Saccharomyces cerevisiae S288C: one gene and its partners. Changing the gene in region 3 together with the main gene of any one other region gives a genetic interaction. Each region holds a gene or a part of one and is shown on either strand. Other genes may lie near its edges. The genes, in order: PRP3, CCL1 and YHR213W-B.

Region 1 (6,024 bases), on a different chromosome or scaffold from region 3:
AATGATGACAGGCGCAGTCTAGCCTCGATATTGGACTCGAGCAGTTCCGTCAAAAAGAAGGGGAAAGGCAGCAACGAAAAGTACCTACCATGCGTATCTTTCAACACAGTTCCCAGATCAAGGGTATCTTCGCCCTTAGATGAAGAGAAAAGAGAATTTCCTGGCGTGCAGATCTCTGCAGATTATACAATGGAGGAATATTATGACGACGAAAGTGGCTTTACCTCGGACAACAATGCCGACTACTTCTCCGGGAATAGCTATTCGAGTAGGCGAGAGGGCAGTGCTAGTCCCGGCAGGTATTCTTCTCCACCTCCTGCCTCTAAAAGAAACATCAAAATAGGTAAGATGTTTAAGATTTCTGAAAATGGTAAAATTGTAAGGGAAGACTATCCTACTACACCCACCGATATCAATGACGCTCTTGTGATTAGTAGGGCGTATGCCAATTGGAGACAACTATGGATCAAGAAGAAAAATCAGATAGATCATCGATTAGAACAAAAGCGCGATTTCTTCAATTACCCAACAATACTGTTTCCTCCAAACAAAAAAAAGTCGTCTGAGGGCGCTACTCCCACAATAAAATTCAATCCTCCCATAGAAGACGGCTTTACGCCTTTGACTAAGTCTCAAAAGCGGAAAGAGCGTGTTTTGAGCGAAAAGGTTGGGTTCCCGAACACTCCTCGAACGATATTGTGCCACATCAGCGGCAGGAAACATACTTGGGTAGCACTAGATTGGGCGCTACGAACTTTGATTCAAAATACAGACCACATTGTTGTGTTGGCAAACCTGCCCCGCCTGACTAAGAATAATTTCGAAGACAATGATTCGATGAGTGAGCGAAAAAGAATGCTAATGATGATGGATGATAGCAGGAGTGTTAGCTCAGCAAGAAGATCACGATCCAGATCGAGATCACGATCCATATGTACAAGAAGGGCACTTTCTCTGGGGCCTGAGGAATCTGACAACAAATTAAAGCACCAAAATTTTATCGAGTGGACATCTGGTTATACGCAGAACGAAATAGAACGTAAATTGCAAGATCTTTTTGATTATGTTACACTCATAATTCCGCAAGATCGTTCTGTCAAGGTCACTGTCGAGATCCTAATTGGCAAGACTAAAAAAACGCTTCTTGAGGCAATAAACATCTATTTACCTGATTTCTTTGTATCTAGCACTTTGAGGTGGGAGAGAACAGACAGCTTAGTTCGTTGGAAATCGAACTTTCTGACAGATAAACTGTGTACTAATTTTCCGATTCCAACGTTTATTGTACCGGCAAAGAGAATGTTCGATTTGGAAATAGATTTGCAAAAAGAGTTTAAAGAACCGGAGGTAACGAAACAAAAAAATACTAGCGGTCCAAAGCCTGGGTTCAGCCATTCTAAATCAGCAGATGCTAGCATTCCAACTATCTCAAATATCAAACGGAAGCAAGATAACGATTATTCTATAGATTCACTATGTTATGCCCCAGAAGCTAATGGTGCTAACAATAGTAGCCGAGAGGAAGCATCTGATGATGAGCTTAACGCTTTTAAGGATGATGAGAATGATGTGATGTCCGTGAAATCCTTAACCTCTAACATTTCGGTAAAGGAAAAGTTATGTACCATGGCAAGGAAACGTAGAAAGAGTATGGCTCAGCAGTTAAATGACGCCGATCATGATTCATCAATACCACCGGGACAGAGGCATTTGAAAAAACTGAATATTATTTTGGAATCTTCATTAAAGTTTTCATTAGAAATCGATAGCATCACTGATAGTATTGAAAATGGGGATGTAGACGAAAAGAGAGCACACTCTATGGAGTCGGGCTTTGAAGAACTGAAAAGAGTCATCACAGGTGGTGCTCCTCCAAGGCATGTGGCTACCCCGCAGAGGTCCATGCTTGATGTTTTGGACAATCCAAGTTCATCTAGATCCAAATCCAAGTCAAGATCAAGCTCTAAGTCAAGGATAAGAGACAAATCAAAACCAAGCTCTCCTACTGCTACCGATATAAACTCAAGTGCGAGTGCGTCGAGATCACGTTCTCCGCAAATCAAGTTCGCGTCGAGTGTCAAGAATGTAGATGGTAATGCTGCACTGGGTGCTATTAAATCTAGGCACTCGCTAGACAGCCCAGGGGACCAGCAACAACAACATCATCATCACCATCATCGTGACACAGATCAGTTGTCCGTTCCAGGCCTTCCCCATTTGGCACCTTCAAAGTCATATAGTGTGAGTTCTGGTAATAAGGATTCATCTTTGAGGAAAGTCAGTAGCTCATCTTCGCTCAGAAAAGTAAAATCTAATGATTCGAACTCTGGTAAACGTATTAAAAAACCGGTCGTAACTTCAGCACACTTGAAACCAAGCTCAGGCGGTGGTGGTTTATTCTCTTTTTTTAAGAGTAAATCGAGATCCCCGTCATCTTTCAGAAAGGAAGATGAGAGTAAAAATACGCCTAAGCGTGGCGGATTGTTTGGGTTCGGAAGGCTGTAGTTGGTCTTACGTTCTTATGTGTTTATTCGATATAATTCTATAACATTTTTATGACTTTGTGCCTTTATGCATAACATGTATTGTACATATTAATCGACAAAAATGACATTCAATACCCTACACTAGTAATTAATAATGCTGCAATTCCATCATCGCATTCTCACCTAAAAGAAATGTGGACAGTGTTCATTATAAGCTGGGTTCCTATTCGTATTTCCGGCAATAATGCGTGCTAAGTGAGTTTGTAAAATCGTTAAAATGAGAATCAATGTACAAGGTTAGTATCACGTCAATTCTTTCAAAGCTTTATATTATTAGGTATACCTCCTTTGAAAGTAGCACCAGTCAAGATAATGGATCTTTATCCATAGTTATTGCAATTACTTTCAAAGCAATGCGGTTGTTATTGTTGCAAAAATATTGCAATATTAACTTCTTAGGAATGGTGAATTGAATTGTGTCGTAACATACGCTGTAACCCTTGTCTTTTGGGTTTAGAATGCGGAAATGAAAAACGTATAGAACATGATGAATCTACGAAGTGCAAGGTCCACGAAACAAGACAGTATCGTTGCAATTCAGTGAAATCCTTAAAATGGTTCAAATATAGATACTGGCTATCTTTTTCATTATATTGGCTTCTTTGACCTGTCACAATTATAGGGTTCAACAGTTATCTTTGGAGGAAGAAGCTGCTCATTGATGAGAAACAGGATTTATGGAAGAGAAGTCACATTCGTGAAAGGCACATTCATCAAGAAATTTTATTTTTTCTTTTGTGCTTCCCAAATTTACTGCCATACTACTCCATTTTTTGACAGCTTATTCATTTAAGAATACGACCTAACAATAGTATTCCGGAACTTTTTAACAATATCAATGACGACTAAGAGAAAATGACAACTGCAGGGAACAGATTTTAGATTTGAAAAAGCCATGACATGATACTACTATGTTCTAGATGTGTTTTATCTCCTTTTCGGTAGCATTTTTTTGGTAATTATCTAGTACGAGAGGTGACAAAATCTGTTGTTCTCCTTTAGGTTGTCGTAGTCAACTTTTTTTGTAGGAAAATTCTTGCAAGTACCCTGAAGTTATGTATGATGCAAGTCTATTGATTGTAATCAATAAGTTTTTCTAGCTCTGGCTTGCTATGTAACGTAGTGAACAATCAATGTTATCGAAAAAGTTTAGGTAAAATTCTCGAAAATGAATGCTGATAATTACTTTTTCTTCACTCCCCAATTTTGGATAATACTTGGCAGCTATATTCGCGAAACAGGAAGGTTAAAAACTGCTTCTCCAATGAAACAGTAGTTAACATATCCATTTAGCTAGAGATACTGCTTTTGGCCTCTGGACAGGCACTGTGAATTGTTCTTATATGTTCTAAAGTAAAGAGCCATGACTCAAAGAAAGTTTCTTGACTATGTTAATTTTTTTAGCATACAAATTTTAATATTATTCACATCTGCGTTTTTCTGACTGGATCCCGCACTGATCAATAACAAGAAATAGTCCTAGTAAAGTATTAGAATGCCAGATGACGTAAAACAATCAAAAAGACTCACAGAAAACATCAGGCGATCTATTGAATTGGCTTGAAAAAATGCCCCCAAGAAATACCTATGAAAAAGGTAATCCGAAACGCCAAAATAGTCCATATTATAAGCCAAGTTTCTTACGGCGTGAAGAAACTACCAATGATGAGGAGAAGTTTCAGGGCCATGGTCTGAAAACCGAACTTCACTCAGCGTTAAAGTCTTCAAATTTGAATCTTATCCGAAGAACTTATCAAACTGGTGAAAATCCCTATCTTAGTGATCCACACGATCGAGGCTCATCGAGCAGATTTAACAGGCGTTATGAACGGGGTCTGAAGTTTTACCAAAAGGGAGAAATCAGTAAAAGAATTGCCCAAGAAAGAACATTACAAAAACAGCAGGAGGAGGAAGAATTAAAAAGAAAGTTAAAACAAGAAGAAGACGAGAAAGATAAAAGAAAATTAATTGAGTCAGGTGATTTACCCAATTTAGAGTTACATGAGGATAAGTTCCTATTAGATTTGTCAAAGTTCAAGATATACTATGATAATAATCATGGCTATGAATGGTGGGACACGGCTTATTTAGATGAAAAGGGTGAGTTGATGGAAAAATATGACATGAATGGCACATCGCCTGCCGAAGAAAAGCTAGCAGAAGATATTGATGAAGTAGACGATGATGATGATGATGAGCACCCATCTATAAGATATGTAGCACATCCCTTACCTGAAAAGATCAACGAGGCAAAAGTATCAATCAAAGCATATCTAACGCAACATGAAAGGAAAAGATTAAGGAGAAATAGAAGGAAAATGGCAAGAGAAGCACGGGAGATAAAAATTAAGTTAGGACTATTACCTAAGCCTGAACCGAAAGTTAAACTAAGCAACATGATGAGTGTTTTCGAGAATGATCAAAACATAACGGACCCAACTGCCTGGGAAAAAGTAGTGAAAGACCAAGTGGACCTCAGGAAGAGAAAACATCTGGAAGAAAACGAAAGAAGACATGAAGATGCTATTAAAAGAAGGAAAGAAGCAGTCAATATGAACGTTGAAAAGCCGACAGTATACCATTGTAAGGTGTTCCAGTTCAAAAACTTACAGAACCCAAAAATAAGATTCAAGTTGAAAATGAATAGTAAAGAACTATCACTAAAGGGTTTATGCCTCCGTATACGTGATGACGGACCAGGAATAATTATAGTCGTGGGTAACGAAAAATCATGCAAATTTTATGAGAATTTGGTGATGAAGAGGATAAAATGGAATGAAGATTTTGAGTTGCACACAAACACTGGGGATATAAAAATGGACATGCATAATAATTCAATATCAAAAACTTGGGAAGGCTATTTACAAGATTGTAAATTCAAAGGCTGGTTTATGAAAGTATGCAATGATCAGGATTCTTTATTACGTACGCTGGGTCAGTTTGATTCAGAGCATTTTTATTCACCTGTTCAAACGTGATATCGGTGTCTACAAAATGATACGCTTTGTTTCATATTAAATATTATTTTACTGTATGTCGCCCAGAATAATGATTTTTTTAGCACAAAAACATTCCAAAATATAAAAAGAAAATGATTTTATATGATAGATGTACTTCAAGGAAATCGACAATTAAAAGAATCATTCTTCGTAATGAATATATGAGCATATGTCTATAAATCAACAGTAAATATACAAACTCTTTATCCTTTTCTTGGTTTTAGGTATTTACCGATGTTTTGAGATGATATCAGCCAAATCTCAAACCTTCCCTGTCAAGCACTTGCCTGTCAAATTGGATCAAATAAACGGTTCGTTGACTATGTCCGCCTTGGGGCATTCGATGTGCTGTCACGCCACATGGAAATCCAGCATTGAAAAGGAATCCTTTGATAATGCCGCAAACGAAGTACTCACAAGAAACGTTCTCACCTGGGATAAATTGGGTTAAAGTGGGGAAGTTATCTACTATCATATAT
Region 2 (12,214 bases), on a different chromosome or scaffold from region 3:
GCCTAAATTTGAAAAAATTACCGAGGAACAGGATAATGGAAAAGCTCTATCGAAAAACCTTATCTCCAACGAACCAGTTGATCTGCTGTCAGATTTATTGGGTGAGGATAGCAAGGCTGAAAGCAAGGCTTCTACTGGTGACAATGTGAAACCAATTGACATATTAGAAGAGATTTTTGGAGAGAAGAATGACATTGCTCAGGTGCCCAAAAATGCGAACAAGGAAGAATCAATCAATCATTCGTCGGCAGTGGAGGCAAACTCAGGTGTCACCTTACCATTGGATGCCAACAAGATATATGACAGTTCCTCACTGAATGTATATGCTTCCTTGCTCTCTGCAAACTCTGGATTAGCACATTTGGATTTATATTTTCAGGCAAAGTCTTTAATATCTGACTTAAAAACTTTCTGTGCCGTTCCTAAAGCTCAAAAGCTAACACTAGGCCAGTTATATCCATCTTCCACAATAAACGCCAGCCAAATTTGCAAGCAGTCATTGAAAATTTCTGGATCTGGGAAACTGAAGTTAAGAGTTAAGTTGGATTTTCATTTAAATGGCTCTTCATCTATCACCAATGAACAGTTCGATCACAAATTCGATGAAACTCTATAAAAAATGCCTTTAAAATTACAGAACATAACATGATTAATGACCTTGCGTTGGATGGTCTGTCGCGCATATCAAGAGACACGTCACGACACAACACGATGAATAGAAATGCTATCTTCTGGGACACCATAAACGACTCCAAAATATTTTATATGTTAAGTAGCGATATATAACAACTAATAACATATGTACTTATATGCTCTCAATAGAATAGATAACAAAGAGAACAAAAACGAGAGTTTGATTTGAGGATATAGGTGAGTTGCCTCTTAATGAACAGAAGCACCTGTAGCCTTAGAAGCCTCATTGACGGAAGCTCTAATTTCATCCTTTTCTGTCTTGCTAACATCTCTTAGGATATATCTGTCGGTCAATGGGGCTACGATCTTTTGATAGATCATTCTAGCGCCACCAGTTTGAGGCAAGGCAATGTAGATTAAGAAAACGGTTTTCAAAAACCAGTAGAATGGAATCAAATATAGAATTGCCTTGGACCAGAATTCAATGACACTCAAAAATGAAAAGACAATCCAGTAGGTCAAGAGTTGTGTGTCATCGGTGGACGTTGGTGTCTTCAAAGCAACCAACGATAAATATGCTGGCAACACAAACCCAGCAAAATTGGAAAGAATTTCACCTACACCTCCGACGTTAATAAAAATCAAAAGGAGATAAGCGAAACCTAAACCAGCAACTAAATAAGATTTAGGCAAATTAGTTTTATTTTCTAATTGCTGTAAAATTCTATTACCAGAGTACTTCTGTAGAAAAAAATGTAGCAAGGAGGGTGAAAATTAGCTTTCTTGTTAGTATAACTGCTTCGGTTACGTGTGTCGGGTCATTTGGCTGTTTGAACCATGATGACGATGGAACCAATAAAACCATCTTACATACGGTATCGAATTGTTTCATTTGAGAGTGAATACTAGATGCATATTCGGACATGATTGGAGTGCGGTTATGTCTTTGTTTATTTGTTTTCACTACCAATTGCAATTTTAGATTCTTTCTTTCGGAATAACAAGCTTCAAGGGAATGTTTTTTAGTTTTAAATCAAAAAAAATTTTGAAGGACATATTTTTTTTTTTTTCGTTCAACCTTGAAAGGGGTTACGCATACTCCCTTTGACGTGGACAAGAAGAGAGAATAACGGCGCTAAGAAAGCGAACCACGAAAATTCGAGAATGGTGATAAAAAAATAAAGGTTAGAATGCCACACAGCCTTCCAAAGAGTGAATGAAAATCTTTTGACTTGATGTAGTTTTTTTTTTTTCAGGAGGAAGTTTAATCCGGATTGTGATTAAATCAGTACTGCCCCTCCAGCAGCCATATAACCTACTTACTGCGTAACTAGTAATTGCGCTCACCCATCCTATCTATGCAACTCTTCTGAAGGTCTTCTCAAGCACTTAATTTTTGTTTTTCAGGAGATTGACAGGGTTTGTCGCTTGTCTTGGCACTCATTCCAGCACTGATTGGGCAGCTAGTTTGAAGAGTTGCACCAATAAATTAGAACCTCATTAAAGTCATGAATGGACGAGCAAGTAGCAAGTCTTATAAATACTTGAAAACGTGCATGTGATGATGGCATCGCTCCCTGTTGAATTTCTTTTTTTCCGTTGGAAGGTGCACTTGTTGAGCGCATTAAAGTTTTATAAAGCATAGTATTCAGGCTCAAAATAAAAGGGGACAAAACAAAACGTGCCGGTGAAACATATATGTCTTGAGAAAATTATTATAATGTTGTCTTCGTCTCTTACTTTTAGAATGTACTCTTTAAAAGTTAGACGCTTGGACCATTTATAAAGCACAAGAATGCTTGTTTATTTCATTCTGATATGCGGATTTAGCTCAGTTGGGAGAGCGCCAGACTGAAGAAAAAACTTCGGTCAAGTTATCTGGAGGTCCTGTGTTCGATCCACAGAATTCGCATTTATTTTTTCGACCTGCCAACTGCGGAAAGTTGGTTCTTGAACTTGACTGCTCCTTCTCTTATGGAAATATCAATGAAAATATAGACTCAAGTAGGAAGATGAAGGAGTTTTTCAACTTGAATGTCTGACTTTTTTTCAAAATTTTCTTACGCCATTGGCCATCTTTTAATGTCTCCAACAAAAAACCAATAACGGATAATCAATATAAGCGTTGGAAAAGAATTTATCACGGCCAAAATTGTTCCCGTTAAAAGTTCGAAGTTTTAGGGACATAAATTTGTCTAAAACTCATGGAAGCACACTTTGCTTCCATTACGTATTGTATAATATTTCCTACTATATCGTGGACTGATACTTTCTTGAGATATCTACATACTTTCTCCGTCAGAGTCAGTCATCCCACCTCAGAGTTTACTAAAAGAGGTCAAAAAGAGGGAAGCAGACAGACTAAGGTAGATGTCCAAAGTTGACAAATAAATATCTGGCTCCACAGTTTTTCAAAATCTCTTGATGATCCCTTGCATTTAAAGGACCGTTATTTGCCGACTACGGACAGAGAAGTTAAATCTGAAAAGAAATGAAAGAAGTGTACAATGACAACAAAAACGATGAAGTAACGTCTTTTTTTTTTTTTGATTACTCCCAAATTCAGTTCCCCCGTTCTTGAATTGGACTACCGATGTTTATGAGCTGGGCATTTTCTCAGGAATTATATAGTATGTTAAGTGTGTAACAAATTGAGATGAATATATACGTGCTGGCTTACGCATTATGAAACACACTAGTAGAATAAGTGTTTCGGATGGGAAGTTTATTGATACTAAACCTAACGTGTCTTCCAAACGAACAAATAATAATGTAGGTTTCAAATTATATCAGCGACTAACTTCGGCGGCTATATGGACAGTCACTAAAGTGTTTTGAAGATGTTTTCTTTCTGTGGTCACGACGGTAGCCTCAACTGCCTAGAAATTTACAAAACAAAATAGTTTACAAAATTAAAGCACTTTTCAAGCGCCGTGCATATTAGTTTTTGTGGTACTGAAAGTTCGGTTACATGATGTGCGGCAAACAACTTTTTGATGTTGGCTAGCAGATCGAGATTCTGTTGATGATGGCAACGTTGAAAAAGCGTTGATCACAAGAATTAGAAAGTACTAATTTTCCATTACTTCTAACTAAAGAGGGAATTACCATTAGTGTAATTCACAAACATTTGTAAAAAAACAATCATCATAACGTACTATTCATAAACATATAAAGCGCCAGATAAAAAGAAATGGTTGGTATTTACAGAATACTTGCTTCGTTCGTCCCACTCCTGGGTCTTCTTTTTGCATTCCATGATGATGACATGATAGATACTGTTACAATCATCAAAACTGTATATGAAACGGTGACATCAACTTCTACTGCACCTGCACCTGCCGCTACAAAATCTGTTAGTGAAAAGAAACTGGATGACACTAAACTAACACTTCAAGTAATTCAAACTATGGTATCATGTTTTTCTGTAGGTGAAAATCCGGCCAATATGATATCCTGTGGGCTAGGAGTTGTAATCTTAATGTTTTCATTAATCATCGAGCTTATCAACAAGCTCGAAAATGATGGTATCAATGAACCGCAAAGGTTATATGACCTAATTAAACCAAAATACGTCGAGCTACCTTCAAATTATGTGAATGAAAAAATCAAAACAACATTTGAACCTCTCGACCTATACTTAGGAGTAAATATGAATACTTCAGGAAGTGAACTAAACCAAAACTGTTTGATTCTCAAACTTGGCGAGAAGACGGCTCTGCCTTTCCCAGGCTTGGCCCAGCAGATTTGTTATACAAAAGGCGCTTCAAATGAGTTCACAAATTATAAATTATCGGACATACAGGGCAATTTAAACGAAAACAGCCAAGGAATTGCTAATGGCGTTTTCCAGAAAATATCAAACATTAGAAAAATATCAGGTAATTTTAAGTCTCAGCTTTATCAAATTTCAGAAAAAATCACCGACGAAAATTGGGACGGTTCTGCTGTAGGCTTCACTGCTCATGGGAGAGAAAAAGGCCCAAACAAATCTCAAATATCGGTTTCATTTTATAGGGATAATTAAAATAATTCTCTAAACTTTGCTATACCTTATTCGTTGTTGATAAGTACACTTGTCCCATTTCCAGAAATTTAATTATTCAAGTCTTTAGCTTCGATAGACGATGTACTTGAAAAATTTATAATCGATATAATTTTCTCTTCTGATTTTTTCACTCTTTTTTTTTTTTTTTGTACTATAGTAGGATACTCAGGGAAAAAGAAACCACTGCCTTTGAACAATGTTGCGAAACCAATTGATTAGTGGGCTACAAGAGTGTAAATAATGAAGATCTTTCATTTTTTGTAGGAATGCGTTTACTCTGGCGTATCTTTTGTAAAGGTTTGTTTCACCGAGAAAGGAAAAAGCTCGGCAATTGGTTTAATCTTGGTTGGATTGTAAAAAAATACATTAAAATTTAGGTTCTACCCCGCAGTGTTTGCTTAATTTACATAGGACCCTTTTCCTGCCGTTTTTGTTTTGTAAGGGTGAGGAAAAACTGGGGACGATGAAGAGCAAAAAAGAAACGAACATATTTGTGAATACATTATACACCTGAAGTAATAAATTTGTGGGGGACGTCATTTAAAGCCAAAATACTTCTTAACACACAATTACTATAAACTATTCCTGTAGATTAGCCCACCCCACCTTGAGAAAACCTTCAGGATACCAAATGGCAGGACCCAACTAACACAAACTCATTTTCTTCAATTTATACAAAGTACGTTTTTCTTTCGTGAATAGTATATAGAGCTTTAAATATTTGCCTAGTAGGCTTCTGTATTTTCAGATTGGCGCTACATCAAGTTACCTCTAATGTATTGAATCTAGAATATAAAAATGTATGCAAACATTATCGTTGCAAATTTAATTTAAGTTGCGAGAAATTTAGGAATATTTCTGTTCAAACCCTACTGACGAGAGAAGAGCCAATATCAAATCTGGTGGTAATCCCGATGGAATCAGAATCGTCTAGTAGGAATTTGAAGTCTATTTTTTTAATATGGACTCATACAAAAAATTAGAAAAGGCGCCAATTAAAAATGTGCAATCAATGTAATGAAAGAACTGATCTCAATGGCAGGAAGATCAAATTGGTAGGTAGATCATGTCTATATAATGCATGTGAAAATTTTATAGAAAACTGTTGTGGGCTCTGGAAAACAGGCTGCTAAACAGTACTTAGTGGAATTAAAGTACGCTGGTGCAAAAGACCAATTTCAAGGTCACTACTATATAAGGTGCAAAAAAAGCTTGTAGTAAAAATTATTGCTCCTAAATGTCACCCTATAGAAAAAAAAAAGCTTTTATATAAGCATGCATGATATTTTCAATATAGTGCCTTTAAAATATATATCCTACGAAAAAATTGGTAACTTTTATCCAAACTTATAATATTAAAAAAAGCGCTACTTATATGCATCATTTCATTTAATCATTGAGAACAATTTCCTTGATTGTAGCTCCTTTGTTATCATCATCATAATCATCATACACTCCTTGTACTGCCACAACTATGTATCTTGTTTTCCTCCAATCTGTGTTCCCTTTATCACCCACCTGCAATTTATCATAATCAATAGTGAAAGTCGTTCTATTACTGGGTAATATCTCGATTAACGACTGGTTGCGACTTGCTTCGTAGTATGGCTCACTTGGGCTCACTGGCACGTTATCCAGAATTTTCACAAATTTTCTTTTTAGAAAGTTAAGTCTGGGTATTTGTTCAATTAGCTTGGCTAAGTCTTCCTTCTTCCAGTGCAATAAGGCTTGCACATCATCCAAAGATTCATCATCCTCTTGTTCTATGCCATCAAAATCAATAACGTTCTCGACAGGAATTCCGGCATTATCTAAAAGCTGACCAATGGTTTCATTAAGAAGTTGATCATTTCCCGAATTTTGCATAATTTCTGTCACGTTCGCAAATAAATTTTCGACTTTTTCAGAATGAGGCAAAATAGATATGGAAATGTTTTTTGCGGGCCTCTGCCCCCAAAGAATCATTCCCTTGGTAATCTCTTTCTCGTTGTATTCACCTAAATCAATCAATAGCTTCGCACGGTGAATTTTGTCTAAGGGTTGCCAATGCGTGTAATTATTCCCATCTAGAGCAGAGAATGCAACGTCACCAGGAACGCCGGCCGTCAAGTTTGTTATTTGCTTATTTTCCGCTATGTTGTTTCTTGCGTTTAAGCCAGGCTTGAACAGTTGGACTGTAAGCTCTTGTTTCGGTTTTAAAAGATAATAGGTACCATACCTATCCATCCTCATTGGATCACCAACACGGTCGACGTCTCTACGCTCTAGATTTGGTTTTCTTTCGTTTTCGGAACCATTATAGAAGTTGATATCCTGGTCATGTATTAGAGATCTGTTTGGTATCTTTATATGAATAGGAACATCTCCTGATTTATGAACAATCGTACCATTGTGGTCGTCAATTATTATATCTAAAACTTGGTTCATATATTTGAAGTTTCTAATAGCGATACCACCAGGGAGCAACGGTAGTTCTATTGGATTGAACCTTAACAAACGGTTAATTTTTTTAGTATCTGGATCAACCTCATAAGAATATCGGATTCCTGTTAACCCAAACAGAATGCTCTGTAGAAATCCACCGTTAGCTGTTAAAAAGGGGAATGCTGGCTGGGTTAATCCGTTTGTTAAAAAGTTGTCGTCTGATTGCTCACTAAATTGAGCGAAAGGAGCCCGTAAGTATGGAAGAACCGATTTATATAAGTAACTTTGAGAAGAAGAGCCGTGATTCAGCAGACCAGCAGCTGCGGCCACAAAAACCGGATATGTCATTGCAGGCCCAGACGCAGACTGTCTTTCTGAATAATAATAAAGATCTTTAATTGCATTGTTCAATATGGATTCATCATTGATATATCCAAGTGGGTAAACCATTAAAGTCACATCCGCCTGTTTAATCTCCACTGAGCTATTCATACCAGAATATTCCAAAGTGATGTTAGATGAGGATCTAGGGATATAAATATCTTTGGAAATTTCACTCCATTTGGGGTCAACGACCTCGCCGAGATGATTGCCAATGTCTGTTGCCCACTTTAGAAGTGTTTTAATGCCAGCATTCGTGAAAGCCCCGTTATTGATGTGATTAGCAAACTCGTCGGGATCTGTCAAATTATATGTTTCATACAATCCTAGGGAAGAATTGTACTTAACATAAGCAGTAAAAAATTGGGCTGCGTTTTTGATAATTGGCCATGTAGTATATCTCAGATACTCGTCATCAATCCCTTCGTGTCCATTCAAGTATATGGAAAAGGAGGCCATAGCGACATCAACGTTAATATGGTATTCGTAATCGACACAAGGTCCCGTAGAAGTACAATTAGCGTACTTACCAGATGTCCAGGGGTATATTGCTCCGGGGTATCCATATTTCTCTGCATTTAACTTTGCCTGCGAATGTGTAGCATTTCTGTAATTATTCATATTTTGAGCCACATTTGGGAAGAAAGGCAATAGGGCAGGTTCCATCCATATATCTGCGTCCCAGAACACCATACCACCATAGGAATCTGATGACAAACCAGAAACTCCCACGGGAAGACCCCTATCGCTCGAGACATTGTAATCTCTTGTATTTGCTAGTAAATGGAATAGGGACGATCTTGCTGTCATTTCTAAAAGACTGTCAGAAGGAATTTCAATGAAGGCGTCGTTGTAAAGGTCATACCACGCACGTTTGTGACTTGACAGAAGCTTCTCGTAATTGCCTTTACTGTTTAGAGCTATCATTTTGGCCAAACCAATATTAGTATTGTCTTGTTGTTCTTTGTTCTTATTGAACTCAGTAGACATAATACCAACATACTTATGAACGATTATCTTGGGTTGGTCCTCTGTCAAAATAACATTATAAATATTAGAAGAAACATCTTTTTCTTCAAAAGATTCACTAGAATTTATTGGATTGGTGGAATTTTCATACTTTACAGTACACGTTGAGTAAATAGCGCAATTAGAAGATGGAACGTTATCTGGCTGAACAATCATGAAAACCGCATTATTTTTTTCGTCTGTTCCCGTGCTATGTAGAACAGTCCTATGTGATGTGTTGAAATCAAGTATATCCCATATATTAACATCTAATGAATCAAAATCCGAAGGTAAATGGTCCGTATTCAGGGAAATTTCCAAAGAAACCACTCCCAGTGGATGAATGTGCCGATGTGCCCAGATTTCACTTTTAACATGTATTTGACTGTTTAGCCAATCTAACTCCGTAGTTACGATACCATCCTTCATTGATAAGTTTTGGCTATAATTAGTTACGTCATCCAACGTAACATTTTGTGGATTGAACCACTTAGAATCATTCACTAATGAGAACTGTAGATTGGTCCATTGTGGAATAGATGAAATGACAGTGGAATATCCTACATCATCCAATTCTGGGAAGTTTGTTGAATTTAGTTTTGGTTGTAGACAATAAAAGTCCGATACAAACGCACCGGCAAATCTATGATTTCTTAAGGGCCAACCGTTATTCAAAGCGCCTGGTGCGTCTGTGTAAAAATTCAGGGTGTCTAAGGCATAGCCGAACCCAATATTGGGAATACGACTACCTATATAACCGTTAGCAACATATGGTTGTCTCGAGTATGTATTCTTTGAGAACAAGTTACTTCCCAAAATCATGTTCTCATCATCATAATATGCCGTGTTGAAATCAGAAAGGAGTTCATAAAGTTTTTTAGAAGATTCCCTTGCTTCTGGATCGTAGTTCAACGTATGATTTCCCAATGACGGCGATATCACACCCAGAGGGTTAAATAGGGCAGCCCTCGAGGCATGTGAGTATGTAAGCCTGGAACTCTTTGTTAAATATAATGCAGTGACGAAGATAGCTAATAAAAATAGCATCATCAGTAAAAGTATAGAGTTGATCAAGTCAAACCTTGAGAAAGAACGATAATTTTTAGAGCGAGAGTTATTACCGGTACTATTTTTGTTCCTCAAACTAGGAGAATTGTTAAGGTTTGAATAAGAAGCCTCCGCATTGAACCAAAGCGATCTTATTCTTTTCATTATTGGAATGAGGAAATTTCGGTAAAAACAGATGCAATATTAGGTGATACTAGCAGGCTCTCATAAAGGACTGATGAATCCTTTTTTAAGGAGCAATAAGATTCTTTTTTTTTTTTTTTTTACTTGAAAAAAAGGGAGTGGTAATATGGTGAAAAGTGGAGAAATTTTGTTATTATTATTCAATAACGACAAGAATTCTCTTTCCGAATATAAAAACGGCGCGGCTGTTGGTTTGTCGTGATACGTAGTGCTTGCTTGGACTTGGAAGTAAGACTATACCAAAAAGGAAATAAATTTTGAGGGGCAAAGAAGAGATGCTTGTACTGCCTTGCTGACTCAGATTGTTCGTTGATTTTGCTCAACTTTCCGCTTGCTTAGAGTGAACGTGATAGCTTTACGGCTAGAATCAAGATGAATGTTCCTTTCTTTTTCCGAAGTATTTGCCCTTATTGAAAAAGAATGATAAGGGATATACGAATAGACTGGTAAATATTGTAGATACACTTGTTTTTAGTGAAGCGAGAATAACAAAGCTTCAGCTAGAGACGTGACGGCTGAGAGGTGACCTGAAAGAAAGTAGTTATTGCTGGCTTGAAGAGTGAAATAACCTTGGTACAGACTTTGATAGCACGAACTGTTTGCCATCCAGAGAAGAAAGGGCCTCTCATTTCCTGCGGTATCCCTTCGTTGTTTAAGCCGTTCACAATCCGGGTAATAAATTTGATCTTAACACAGTTTTTATATTAAGAAAGATCTCAAACAAATGAGTGAATATTAAGTTTAAGAGAGGAAAATACTGTGCTGCACAGATATTGATAGAATGACGGATATTCAACTAAATGGAAAGAGTACATTAGATACTCCTTCTGCTACCATGTCAGCAAAAGAAAAAGAGGCAAAATTAAAATCGGCTGATGAGAATAACAAGCCACCGAACTACAAAAGAATTTCTGACGATGATTTATATAGGCACTCTTCTCAGTATAGAATGTGGTCATACACTAAAGATCAACTTCAGGAGAAAAGGGTAGATACCAATGCCCGAGCGATTGCTTACATTGAGGAAAATTTATTAAAATTTAGAGAAGCACACAATTTAACAGAAGAAGAAATAAAAGTACTAGAAGCAAAGGCTATCCCTTTGACAATGGAAGAAGAACTCGATTTGGTGAATTTCTACGCAAAAAAAGTTCAGGTAATAGCACAGCATCTAAATTTGCCAACCGAAGTAGTGGCCACTGCGATATCCTTTTTTAGGCGTTTTTTCTTAGAAAATTCTGTTATGCAAATAGATCCTAAAAGTATTGTACATACTACTATCTTTCTAGCCTGCAAATCGGAGAACTATTTTATTAGCGTGGACTCGTTTGCTCAAAAGGCCAAATCTACTAGAGATAGTGTTCTCAAATTCGAGTTTAAGTTGTTAGAATCATTGAAATTTTCACTGTTGAACCATCATCCTTACAAACCGCTTCATGGGTTTTTCTTAGATATCCAGAACGTCCTTTATGGTAAGGTTGATTTAAATTACATGGGCCAAATATACGATAGGTGTAAGAAGAGAATAACTGCCGCATTATTAACCGATGTCGTATATTTCTACACTCCACCCCAAATAACACTAGCAACATTATTGATTGAGGATGAAGCCTTGGTCACAAGGTATTTAGAAACAAAATTTCCCAGCAGAGAAGGTAGCCAGGAATCAGTACCGGGAAACGAAAAAGAAGAACCACAAAATGATGCCAGTACAACTGAGAAAAACAAAGAGAAGTCCACAGAGAGCGAAGAATATTCGATAGACTCCGCGAAGTTACTAACCATAATACGCGAGTGTAAAAGTATTATTGAAGATTGTAAACCTCCGAGTACTGAAGAGGCCAAGAAAATTGCGGCAAAAAACTATTATTGTCAAAATCCATCAACACTGATTCAGAAATTAAAAAGGAAGTTGAATGGAGAAGATACTTCGTCCACCGTTGAGAAAAAGCAAAAAACATGAAACAGCTCTGTTACCGTAGGTTTCTGTTTTATATATATATATAGATTAAGATGCATAGGTATATAGACCGGCGCCATTTTATATTATTTCATGCCATGAATATATACTGCAAAAAATGTGACAATGAGTAAATTGCTAACTAGCGCTACAATGTGATTATTTTTGCTACACACGTTTATCCATTGAATATTCTATTTACAATGTATGGCGTATTGATACACATGTACCTATATATATCAACAAGTGCTTTTATCTTAACTTTTATGAAAGATTAATGATTGGTTTAATCATCAACGATACTCCGTTCCATGGTGTGACTTTTTTAAGGCTTGTCACTGGGGGAAAGCGACGGTTGGTTAAGGGATGAAAGAAATTAATAACCCACTTGCGATCATCGGTTATCCTGAAGTATTTTGTCGCAAATACCCAAGCTTAATGCCTCTTTTCTTATCACAGAAATAATATTATAATTTCTCCTTACGAATAATCTGAAGTTTCAAGCTGAC
Region 3 (11,115 bases):
TAATCATACAAACGTACCAATATCCAGTACGGGTGGTACCAATAATAAAACTGTTCCGCAGACAAGCGAACAGGAGACTGAGAAAAGGATCATACACCGTTCACCTTCGATCGATACTTCCTCATCAGAAAGTAATTCACTACACCACGTCGTTCCTATCAAAACGTCAGATACCTGTCCTAAGGAGAATACAGAGGAATCTATTATCGCTGATCTTCCACTCCCCGATCTGCCTCCAGAACCTCCTACCGAATTATCAGACTCCTTTAAAGAACTCCCACCGATAAATTCTCATCAAACTAATTCCAGTTTGGGTGGTATTGGTGACTCTAATGCCTATACTACTATCAACAGTAAGAAAAGATCATTAGAAGATAATGAAACTGAAATTAAGGTATCACGAGACACATGGAATACTAAGAATATGCGTAGTTTAGAACCTCCGAGATCGAAGAAACGAATTCACCTGATTGCAGCTGTAAAAGCAGTAAAATCAATCAAACCAATACGAACAACCTTACGATACGATGAGGCAATCACCTATAATAAAGATATTAAAGAAAAAGAAAAATATATCCAGGCATACCACAAAGAAGTCAATCAACTGTTGATGATGAAAACTTGGGACACTGACAGATATTATGACAGAAAAGAAATAGACCCCAAAAGAGTAATAAATTCAATGTTTATCTTTAACAGGAAACGTGACGGTACTCATAAAGCTAGATTTGTTGCAAGAGGTGATATTCAACATCCTGACACTTACGACCCAGGCATGCAATCCAATACCGTACATCACTATGCATTAATGACATCCCTGTCACTTGCATTAGACAATAACTACTATATTACACAATTAGACATATCTTCGGCATATTTGTATGCAGACATCAAAGAAGAACTATACATAAGACCTCCACCACATTTAGGAATGAATGATAAGTTGATACGTTTGAAGAAATCACTTTATGGATTGAAACAAAGTGGAGCGAACTGGTACGAAACTATCAAATCATACCTGATAAAACAGTGTGGTATGGAAGAAGTTCGTGGATGGTCATGCGTATTTAAGAATAGTCAAGTAACAATTTGCTTATTCGTTGATGATATGATATTGTTCAGCAAAGACTTAAATGCAAATAAGAAAATCATAACAACACTCAAGAAACAATACGATACAAAGATAATAAATCTGGGTGAAAGTGATAACGAAATTCAGTACGACATACTTGGCTTAGAAATCAAATATCAAAGAGGTAAATACATGAAATTAGGTATGGAAAACTCATTAACTGAGAAAATACCCAAATTAAACGTACCTTTGAATCCAAAAGGAAGAAAACTTAGCGCTCCAGGTCAACCAGGTCTTTATATAGACCAGGATGAACTAGAAATAGATGAAGATGAATACAAAGAGAAGGTACATGAAATGCAAAAGTTGATTGGTCTAGCTTCATATGTTGGATATAAATTTAGATTTGACTTACTATACTACATCAACACACTTGCTCAACATATACTATTCCCCTCTAGGCAAGTTTTAGACATGACATATGAGTTAATACAATTCATGTGGGACACTAGAGATAAACAACTGATATGGCACAAAAACAAACCTACCGAGCCAGATAATAAACTAGTCGCAATAAGTGATGCTTCATATGGTAACCAACCATATTACAAGTCACAAATTGGCAACATATATTTACTTAATGGAAAGGTAATTGGAGGAAAGTCCACCAAGGCTTCATTAACATGTACTTCAACTACGGAAGCAGAAATACACGCGATAAGTGAATCTGTCCCATTATTAAATAACCTCAGTCACCTTGTGCAAGAACTTAACAAGAAACCAATTACTAAAGGATTACTAACCGACAGTAAATCTACAATCAGTATAATTATATCCAATAATGAAGAGAAATTTAGAAACAGATTTTTTGGTACTAAAGCAATGAGACTAAGAGATGAAGTATCAGGAAATCATCTGCACGTATGCTATATCGAAACCAAAAAGAATATTGCAGACGTAATGACCAAACCTCTTCCGATAAAAACATTCAAACTATTAACAAACAAATGGATTCATTAGATCTATTACATTATGGGTGGTATGTTGGAATAAAAATCCACTATCGTCTATCAACTAATAGTTATATTATCAATATATTATCATATACGGTGTTAAGATGATGACATAAGTTATGAGAAGCTGTCATCGAGGTTAGAGGAAGCTGAAGTGCAAGGATTGATAATGTAATAGGATAATGAAACATATAAAACGGAATGAGGAATAATCGTAATATTAGTATGTAGAAATATAGATTCCATTTTGAGGATTCCTATATCCTCGAGGAGAACTTCTAGTATATTCTGTATACCTAATATTATAGCCTTTATCAACAATGGAATCCCAACAATTATCTAATTACCCACATATATCTCACGTTTATATATTAAAATACTTTCTACTTAGTTATTTTTAGGAAAGTACGGTTACGCACTCATTTTAAAAAAAAGCAAGGATGAAAATACCTGCCAAAGTACTTAAAGCATTGGTTCTCAAACCAGCAGCCATACCTTCGGATTGAACGACAATACCAGTGAAGGTGCTGGAAGCAGCAGTATGAGAAGTTGGAGCAGCAGACTTGGTGACTGTGCTAGTGGCCAATGATGTTTGTTTGGAAGCCTCGGAAGTGACAGTCTTGGTGTTACAGCCGTTGTCGTCACAGTGAGTAACGGTAACAGTAGTGTATGATTTTGGAGAAATGGTGGTTGCTGCAGTTTCTTTAGAACATTCAGAAGTGACAGTCTTGGTGTTACAGCCATTGTTGTCACAGTGAGTAACAGTAACAGTGGTGTATGATTTGGAGGAAACGGTTGCAGTTGCGTCGGTAGCAGTTGGTGCTGGAACATGGCATCCGTTTTCGTCACAAGATGTGATGGTGGCAGTGGTAGATGAGCATGGGACAGTTGTGGTAATGGTGTAAATGTTACCGCTAGCGTCGGTTGTTTCTGAACAGGAAACCACGACTGTACTTGTGGCATTCAAGTAAGTTAATGTAGTAGTGTAGACAGAAGCGGAACCTGAGGTGAAGCTGGTGGCGGATGCAGCGGATGCAGTAGAAGTAGTGGAAGCGGTGGAAGCAGTAGAAGCGATTGAACCAGATGCTGTAGTGGAGTTTGAGACACCAGAGATGGAGGCGCTAGATGAAGGAATTATTGAGTCTGGGGCGCTAGAAGAGATCGTAGAAGAGACGGTGGTAGAAGCGTTAGAGGATAAAGTGACTGAACCAGTGGCAGTAGAGACAACACCAGAGGTAGTGGATGCGGATGTGGATGCGGCGCTTGTAGCGATGACACCGTCATAGTTTAGGTAATATGAGTAGGCGCCTGCGAAGATTCCTTCGGAGACACTGAAGCCAGAACTAGAGAATCCAGTACCAATTTCAAAAGAGAATTGTCTGTTACCTTGGGTTGCAGTTAAGACACCAGTAGTACCGTCGTAAGAAAGAGCAGTGATGTCAGCGGTAATGGCAATTTGGTTCTTACCGGTGTAGCCAACAACAGGAATAGGAGTGGCGTTGGTTTCGGTTGGGTCAACGGCAAGAACACCTTCACCCTTGAATACAACAGTTTGGCCAGTAAAGGTGTCAGGGTAGTGCAAGTATAGGTTACCAGAGACGATGTTGATTGTACCGTTTCCAGAAACTGGTTCAACGATAACATAGGTACTTCCATTGTCTAGGTTGATTTCACCGTTATTTACAGAGCCTTCATCGTCGTCTCTACGTTACAAACCGGAAACAGAACCACCGTTGAGAATAGCATTTGACAAAGAAAAGGTACCAGCGTTAGAGTATGGAGAAAAGGTGACTTCACCCTTCTTGGCCTTTGACAAACTCAAAGAAATGTCACCGCTGCTCTTGAACGAGCTAGGTGTGAATGAATAGATAGATGCGGAGACAGCGCCAGTTTCTTCAGCACTGAAGTTACCGGAAACTTCAAAAGTCTCACCAGAAACGTCGAAGGCGGTACCTTCGTAGCTTGCTTCAGACTTTTCGACAACCAAATCACCGTGAACTTTTAGATCAGATGAGAAGACGTATTTTTCACCGTCAAGTAAAGTCAACTTACCACCGGCAGCGACTTCCACGGCCTCGGTTGCAATTACTTTACCAGTAACTGTGAGATCACCGCTAATTGTTGTGGATGGCAAATAAACGGTACCGTCACTGGAAGAAAGTGAGTCGGAAGCGGTGGCACTTGCACTAGCTGACGAGACGGAAGTGATAGAACTCAAGTCTGCGGAGGAGGTGCTATTGGTGTAAGAGTCACCGAGAGCGCCGCGAGAGAGTAGGGCCAAAGCGACAGCAGCTTGGAATTTGTTAAAACGATTGAACATCTCTTTTTTTTTTGTAATGGGCGAGAGTTTACCAATAAAAAGAAAGAAATAGTAAAGCTTGCAAAGATGAAAACTTGGACTGCTATTATGAGAACAAGAGTGAATATGACGATCCAGTGACAATGAAGCATATTGAAGTACGATTTACCTGCTTTTTATATACTTCTTCTTGTTACTACTCACGGACTCCTAACCCATAGCTATAGAGCCCGAAGCTACAGAGACCGATGGTGTGCTAGATCAAAATTTTTGTGCATGCATTTCTACGAAGAACATTCTCAAGCCCTGTAAGGCTTGTACGCGCGCGTTTGCCAACAGGGAACGAGGTGCTAATTTGCAGACCAACACATAAGCAATTGGCCAAAACAACAACAACAACAATAACAATAGCAGCAGCAGCAGCAGAACGCGATTTAGCCTGGCCAGATTATTGTAGAAGAGGCACGCGAAAACAAGAGCGGGGAAGGGGCAAGATTGTTTGTTACGTGGGCAGACGCTCAGCTACTTTCTATACAATCCCTACTCTGTGAGGTGCTTATTCAAGCAATGTTCTATAACTTTGGCTCAGAACAGATCATACGCCAAAAACAGAAAAGAAAAAGATAGCTATGTCCTAATGGAAGAGACAAGAAATCTTTGCGGCTACCCTCGAGAGAGTTAGTGCACTGTTTCTCCGTAGCCGCGAAATGCTTCTTTTCTGTCCCTGAAGCGCACGGCTGCGTAATCTCACTGCGACGCGGACGGCAATTGTTTTCCGCGGAGACGTGGCTGACAAAAGTCCCTGTGAAAGAAGGCGCTCGCTCTCTTCCGTGGGTCCCTGCTATATAACTACAGCAAAAATCAATCAACATCCTATTCCTGACGAGAATTACTCCGTCTCGTTAAAGAATATCTTTCCAGCGTTTTCTAAGGAAACGCGCAATGTCGCTCGAACTACAAAGACTGAACCTTTGGGTTCCATTATAAATTCTTGAACTTGTTTCATACCCATATATAAGCGGTGCAAAAGACAAAAGGGAAAAACAAAAAAAAAATGAAGAAAAACGGACAAACGGATAACCGGCACCTTCTGTACCACTACATCGCCCGTTTTCGCCAGCATTTCATCAGCACAGATTAGATAGTGTATTCCTACCTCCAACTATCTTATGCTTGGTTTGAATATTTTGGCCCAGTTTCTCAGGTCTTGCTTCCAGGCGCACCCAAAATGTGGTCTTGGTGTGATTGTCGTCACCTTGCCATCCTCTCTCAAATAACGTGGTTCTTGGTAATCTTCTAGACACTTTCCATAGTTTCAAGTCACGTGCGAATTGGCATGTTGCAGAGATTTAGATGGCTATATTTCCTCAAGTTAGCGCATTTGGCTTACTTGATCAGGCGCTTACGAGCTACATTTACGCCTGTCTGTATAATTTTGTTTCTTGACGATGGGATTCTCATAAGAAAGTCCAGAGTTGTTCGCAAGGTTAGACACTTTTAGCAGCTAGTGCGTGGTACTTGTAGAATTGCGAACCGGGCATTACAAAACAAGCCCTTTTTTAGCGCTGTCAAGAGCAGAAACTGTAAGTATGCCAGAGTTAGTTGCCGCCCCAATGCTCTTTTCCTGGGCCAATTCGAGAAGTTGAACAGCTTTGGATATTACTGATAAAGAGATGTTTGCCTTGGGGGGCTACTACGGTAATAAGCGTCTTGTCGCTAATGACATGCCAGCAATCACTAAGATTGTTTCGCTCTCAGAAGAACCAGAGGTGGAACTACTGGTTTGAATGACGGATGATTTAGATGATTCAGAGAATGTAGAAGTGGAGGTCGTTGCAGAAGAAGAAATGACCGAGGAAGACATGACTGAGGAAGAAACTACAGAAGTTCCATTGCTGCGATAGAATGGAGTAATAATTGGATGCTAAGACGTGATAGAGCTGGTGATTTGTTCTGAAGAAGATGATGACAAACTGGATGAGGTGGCAGTGGTTGGAGCTTTGGCAACAATAACGGTTTCGTCAGTTGGTTGACCATTAGTACCGGTGACGGTGGTCATTTCAGTAGATGTAGAAGTAAAAGTACCAGTCCACAGTTCGGTAGTAGTTGTGACGATGCTAGTAGTATGTTTTGAAGGATCAGGGATAGTACAATTTGACTGACTTAAATCATCGTCAAAAGAGTAAACGTACCCTTCAAAGTCATCACTAACAGTAGTACCATCAGGCAATTCCACGCTAATTGGAAGCGTGCCCCAGGAAACGGCATTGGAGTAAACAACCTTCAGCGGATAATAGTAGCCTGCATACATGTAGACAGTCCCTCCGATGTTATCAGGCAAACTTCCTTGCCATGGCTTAATACCATTGATTGTAAAATCCGTCGATGTAATTGGAGGTTGTTCTTGTGCACAACATTCGAACGCAACGTTACCACCGACTGATAGAATTGCAGAGTCATCGACCTTAGCAAACCTGAACGTGTAAGAACTTGTTTGTGGTGGTAAAAAGTAACCTGTCATTTCTAGAGTAGCGTTTTTTGGGATAGTAAGAAACCAAGTAAATCAGTACTCCAATAGGTCTTTCTTGGCTATTTTGAACATTCACTATGACCTCTGCATCCCCAGTTTCCATAAGCATCTGATTGAGCACATTTAAAAGTTCCTGAAGAGATAACACAAGAAAGATCGTAGTCAATTGAGAAATCCGTCTGTCCGCCAACGGAACCTAATTCCAATTCGAGGCATATCCAGAAGTCATATATTGCGGGTAGGAATACGTTGTTGAATCCAGTAATGAGTATTTATAAAAGTTGACATTCATCCCATTTTTCCTCGGGCCCACTGGCAGGCATGCTTGTGTACTTCCTGAAACAACATTGGACGTGGCCAGGTAGGTGAAGAGTGCCAAAAATAAATAGTGATAAGGCATTTCTTGGTTCGTCAATCAGGTATGGGTATATTAAACAATAACTTTTAGCCATGCTGTTAATGATGAAAATTTTGATGCTGGTCTCTTCATATGTCATTGTTTTGGGAACTGTCTTTTTTCGATCAGATGTATGCGCTACGATTTGTTTAGCGTAGTGATGTTCCTGCGCTGTATTTAGGAAATTTTGGTATCGAAACGTCCCTACAACACTTTTTGTCGCTGATATCTGCACATGCGAGTAACGCCGATTCCATTACATTATTACCTTCCACTTCCCAGAAACGATTTATTACGACTCAACAAGTTCAAGAAAAAAATTAAAAAGGTTACAACCACATTTTGCGTTTAGGTGCAGCGAGGCTTACCTTGATGCAGTCCTAAAGAGTCCTGCAGCAGTTGTAACGAATCCTATTTGCTTTTATGCATTCCTAAACGGGCTGAAGTATAAGTCTTGAGGAACTCCGGGAGAAGATACGATAAGCTCTGAAGTGCCAAATTTTATTATCAAAAAAAATATTTGTACAAGCGGAAAAGGAGTATACTCTTCCTCTTTTGCTTCATCACAAGAGGATCATTTTGACGTTGTCTGTTGTACTACTTCTTTATCGGCGTGCGCAGGAAAAGAAAGAAAAAGGAAGGAAAAAGAGATGTCAAAAACCGATGTCAAAAAATCTCGTGAGGCCTCCGGAATTTTGACGCTGCAAGTCAATCTACGGGAAAGAAGAAATTTTTTAAACTTAATGCAAAATAAGCTTTTTTCTTGGAAAATAAGATTTTCGGCAATAAAAGGTAAATGCAGCCAAAAATCAAAATACTTCAGAAGAAGTCGTAGCGAGGACTGCTACGTGGAAGCGGATTTGAAGATCCTTTCCAGAACAAGAAGGAGCCGAAAGCTGCCAGGAACTGTTCCTGATTTTTTAGGAAAACAATTAATAGGTATCTCGTCTAGCGTAGTATCTCGAGTTTCCAGAAGTTGCAGATAATCAAAATCATTGTTTTATCGCTTTTTTTAAATTACAGCTTAGAAGAGTAGAGAGCAAGTTTACTGAAACGGTTCCTTGTTTACAATAATATTCCTAACAAACTTCACGAATTAGGATGCAGCATGATTTTTTATCTTGCTTCACTTCCTAAAGTATGAATTTTTATCCGTAGTCGCAACCAAAACAGCTACTGGAAATTTGCAGCTTGTTAAAAACCGGTAGTTTCCGAATACTCCTCGTCCTTGAGTTGTATACCGTTAAACTTCCTAGGGTATCATGTGTCTGGCCCAAAATTGACCCACAAAATCTGGTCCTATTGACGGTCTTCTTTTGATTTTCAGCATCCTACTCTAAGAAGGACAGAAAATTATGAAATATATGGGAGAAACGGCCTCCCAACTGCTAAGTGTTCCCGGCAGCACGAGTAAGCAAAATTCAGGCAACCTATTGCATTAAGAAGCCCTACATAATTCAGCGTGATATGATGGAGTTTTGTTAATTGCAAATTTTAGTACGATTTGGTTGTTAGTGTGTGTTTATGCAAGTAATTATTGAACCCTAAGTAGTTACTGTCTTCTTTTGCTGTAATTCGTGGATTCATGGCCCTCCAGCAACATGGATTGAAAGGTTCTTTAAAGTTTTTAATCCGTAAAGTTCTGAAATGTATTTTAATCATGTCAATAATTCAACTGGTGGGTAGCATTTATGACCAAAAGCGTACTTAAATTAGCAGCAAAAAAATTTTTAATAACGAAACTATAAGGAAAAAAAAATACGAGGTACTGATTATGAGAGTTCCAGTTTCTCATTTTTGAGACATGATCTGAACAAGGCTGAAAACAGCAATCTTTTTCAATAACTTTTGCAAAAATTTCAAACATTGTTGTTTGAATGCAGCTAATTTTTATAGAGTACAGAGCTCAATGCTTTACATGTGCTTTATTTCCGGTACTTTTCTTAAAATGTCTACATTTTCTCTCAGGACTTGAATGTCTTCGGCTGCATTACTATAAAATCTTGAGTTCCTAAGACGATAGTGGTGAGTGATGTAGTTCGCGTGTGTGCCACTGGTAATAATAGAGATAACTATCTCAGTTAAGTTTGAAAAGGTAAAGAATAGTCATTTTTTGCGACAGTCATTCTTCTCTGATGCACGTTCTTTAGACTACCTATAAACACCATTCTTACGGAATTATAATGGAAATAACACATCATTACGTGTTTCTGTCGGTGATAGAGGGGTAATAGAACCTTAATTGAAAAATTAGCACAGTGCATAATTTATTAACATGATTGTTATCTGTGGAAAATAAGAAATTCAGCACCAGTAAAAAACGAGGAATATAGGCACATAAATGTGCTCTTACTCGTATGTTCCAGGATGAAAATGTTTAGGGCATCAAGTATTGCCGAAAGGGCAATATGCTTTAGCACCAGAAAATCCACTGTATACTCATTACGGGTAAACAAAGCAAAAGGCAGTGCGTGATAATGTTTCTAAAATCTCTGTACACTGTTGAAATGCGGCTCTGATACTTTAGCCCTTAGTCCCTGATGGTGCCTAAAATGAGGATAAGTATATGAGTTTACAACGAATATAATGCTTTTTACCTCATCATATAAAGAATAATATCAATTTCAAAATAAAAATTAGACCCAGGTGGTAATGAGGAATGCGTCCTAATGAATTTATGTAGTCGATGCTTTTGCAGCATTTTTTTTTGTATTAATCAAAGTGCACTACGTGACAAAAATAAAAAGTGTATGAAAACAAAAAAATCACAGATTTTCATAAAAATAACATGGTATTCTTAATCATATATCGTAAAGGATTGTCAAAAATAAAGAGAATATAGTCGGTACAAACCATTTTGTACGCCTACAGAGTATAGTGCAAAAATTATAGTTAGGATTGTGACATCCCTTTTTCTTTAACATAATAACTTTGCTTCAAATTAATTGATCAATTAGGATAATAACTCTCAACACCTTTATTATTCATGTTTAGAAAGTTTATGGTCAGAGGGTGATTGGCATTGATACTTATACTTTTTTCTCGCTAGTATAATACGCATTTGTAATGCTTTTTACCGATGCGGAGACATTTTATACTTAGCGGCATTTTAATATTTAGTTGGGAATGCAGCCATATTGGATATATAATTTTGATAGGATTCATTAGTGGAAAAGTTCAGTGACAAAATCTAGAAAATAATATGATAACTATTACTTGTTTCTATAGGCATGCAAATATCTCCATTGTACCGTGATTAAATAAAAATACGCTATATTCCATGTTTGAATAGATCTTATTTTTTGGCTGTCCAGATAATAAACGTACTGTTTTTGACACACACCAATGAGTAGACGTTATTGCGACTGTATGTCCTTTAAGATATTCAGTGCAAAGAGACAAGGTATTTATTCGTTTTCTTGCAATTTCTTCTCATCTATCATTATCATACCACATTGAATCTTATTTTTTAATTTTTAGTCTATTTGATGACGGCTACTGAATCTTTACACTACTTGAGCTGAGGAGTAAAATTGCATTATTCATATTAAACAAAGAAGTCAATTTCCCATAAAGACAATATCTCAACTTCATCACATCCTTGGTTTTTACAGAGTACATATATTTGATGAATTCTGATTTGAAAATATCAATTTGTTCCTCTAGAATTTTTCCACTCGCACATTCAAAAACTGGGATTGGAACGCACAAGAAGTGATCGTCACCTTCCATTGGGGTTAGTAGCAGGATATATATTTCCATTCTATATTCCAGGTTCTCTTTCACAATTTTATTGAATGAAAT

The links.
Region 1: mutations in YHR213W-B (region 3) and PRP3 together harm fitness more than expected from each alone (negative genetic interaction), as found in Saccharomyces cerevisiae (one large-scale study listed by BioGRID).
Region 2: mutations in YHR213W-B (region 3) and CCL1 together harm fitness more than expected from each alone (negative genetic interaction), as found in Saccharomyces cerevisiae (one large-scale study listed by BioGRID).

Annotation. Positions count from the first base shown.
Region 1 is NC_001136.10:1,403,945-1,409,968, reverse strand, and holds PRP3 (U4/U6-U5 snRNP complex subunit PRP3), read left to right. Parts: upstream 1-4,114; coding exon 4,115-5,524; downstream 5,525-6,024. Other genes in the region: JIP4 (Jip4p), read left to right, coding at 1-2,505; TRAPP subunit TRS31, read right to left, coding at 5,796-6,024.
Region 2 is NC_001148.4:612,871-625,084, reverse strand, and holds CCL1 (TFIIH complex kinase subunit CCL1), read left to right. Parts: upstream 1-10,526; coding exon 10,527-11,708; downstream 11,709-12,214. Other genes in the region: APL4 (AP-1 complex subunit gamma), read left to right, coding at 1-616; YOP1 (Yop1p), read right to left, coding at 883-1,374, 1,508-1,558; YPR027C (uncharacterized protein), read left to right, coding at 3,827-4,660; alpha,alpha-trehalase ATH1, read right to left, coding at 6,071-9,706. UniProt on the Saccharomyces cerevisiae protein: Regulatory component of the TFIIK complex (KIN28-CCL1 dimer) which is the protein kinase component of transcription factor IIH (TFIIH) and phosphorylates the C-terminal domain of RNA polymerase II during transition from transcription to elongation after preinitiation complex (PIC) formation, thereby positively regulating transcription.
Region 3 is NC_001140.6:534,941-546,055, reverse strand, and holds YHR213W-B (uncharacterized protein), read right to left. Parts: upstream 5,257-11,115; coding exon 4,957-5,256; downstream 1-4,956. Other genes in the region: YHR214W (uncharacterized protein), read right to left, coding at 3,794-4,405; YHR213W-A (uncharacterized protein), read right to left, coding at 5,274-5,507; YHR213W (uncharacterized protein), read right to left, coding at 6,309-6,905; YHR212W-A (uncharacterized protein), read right to left, coding at 7,111-7,314.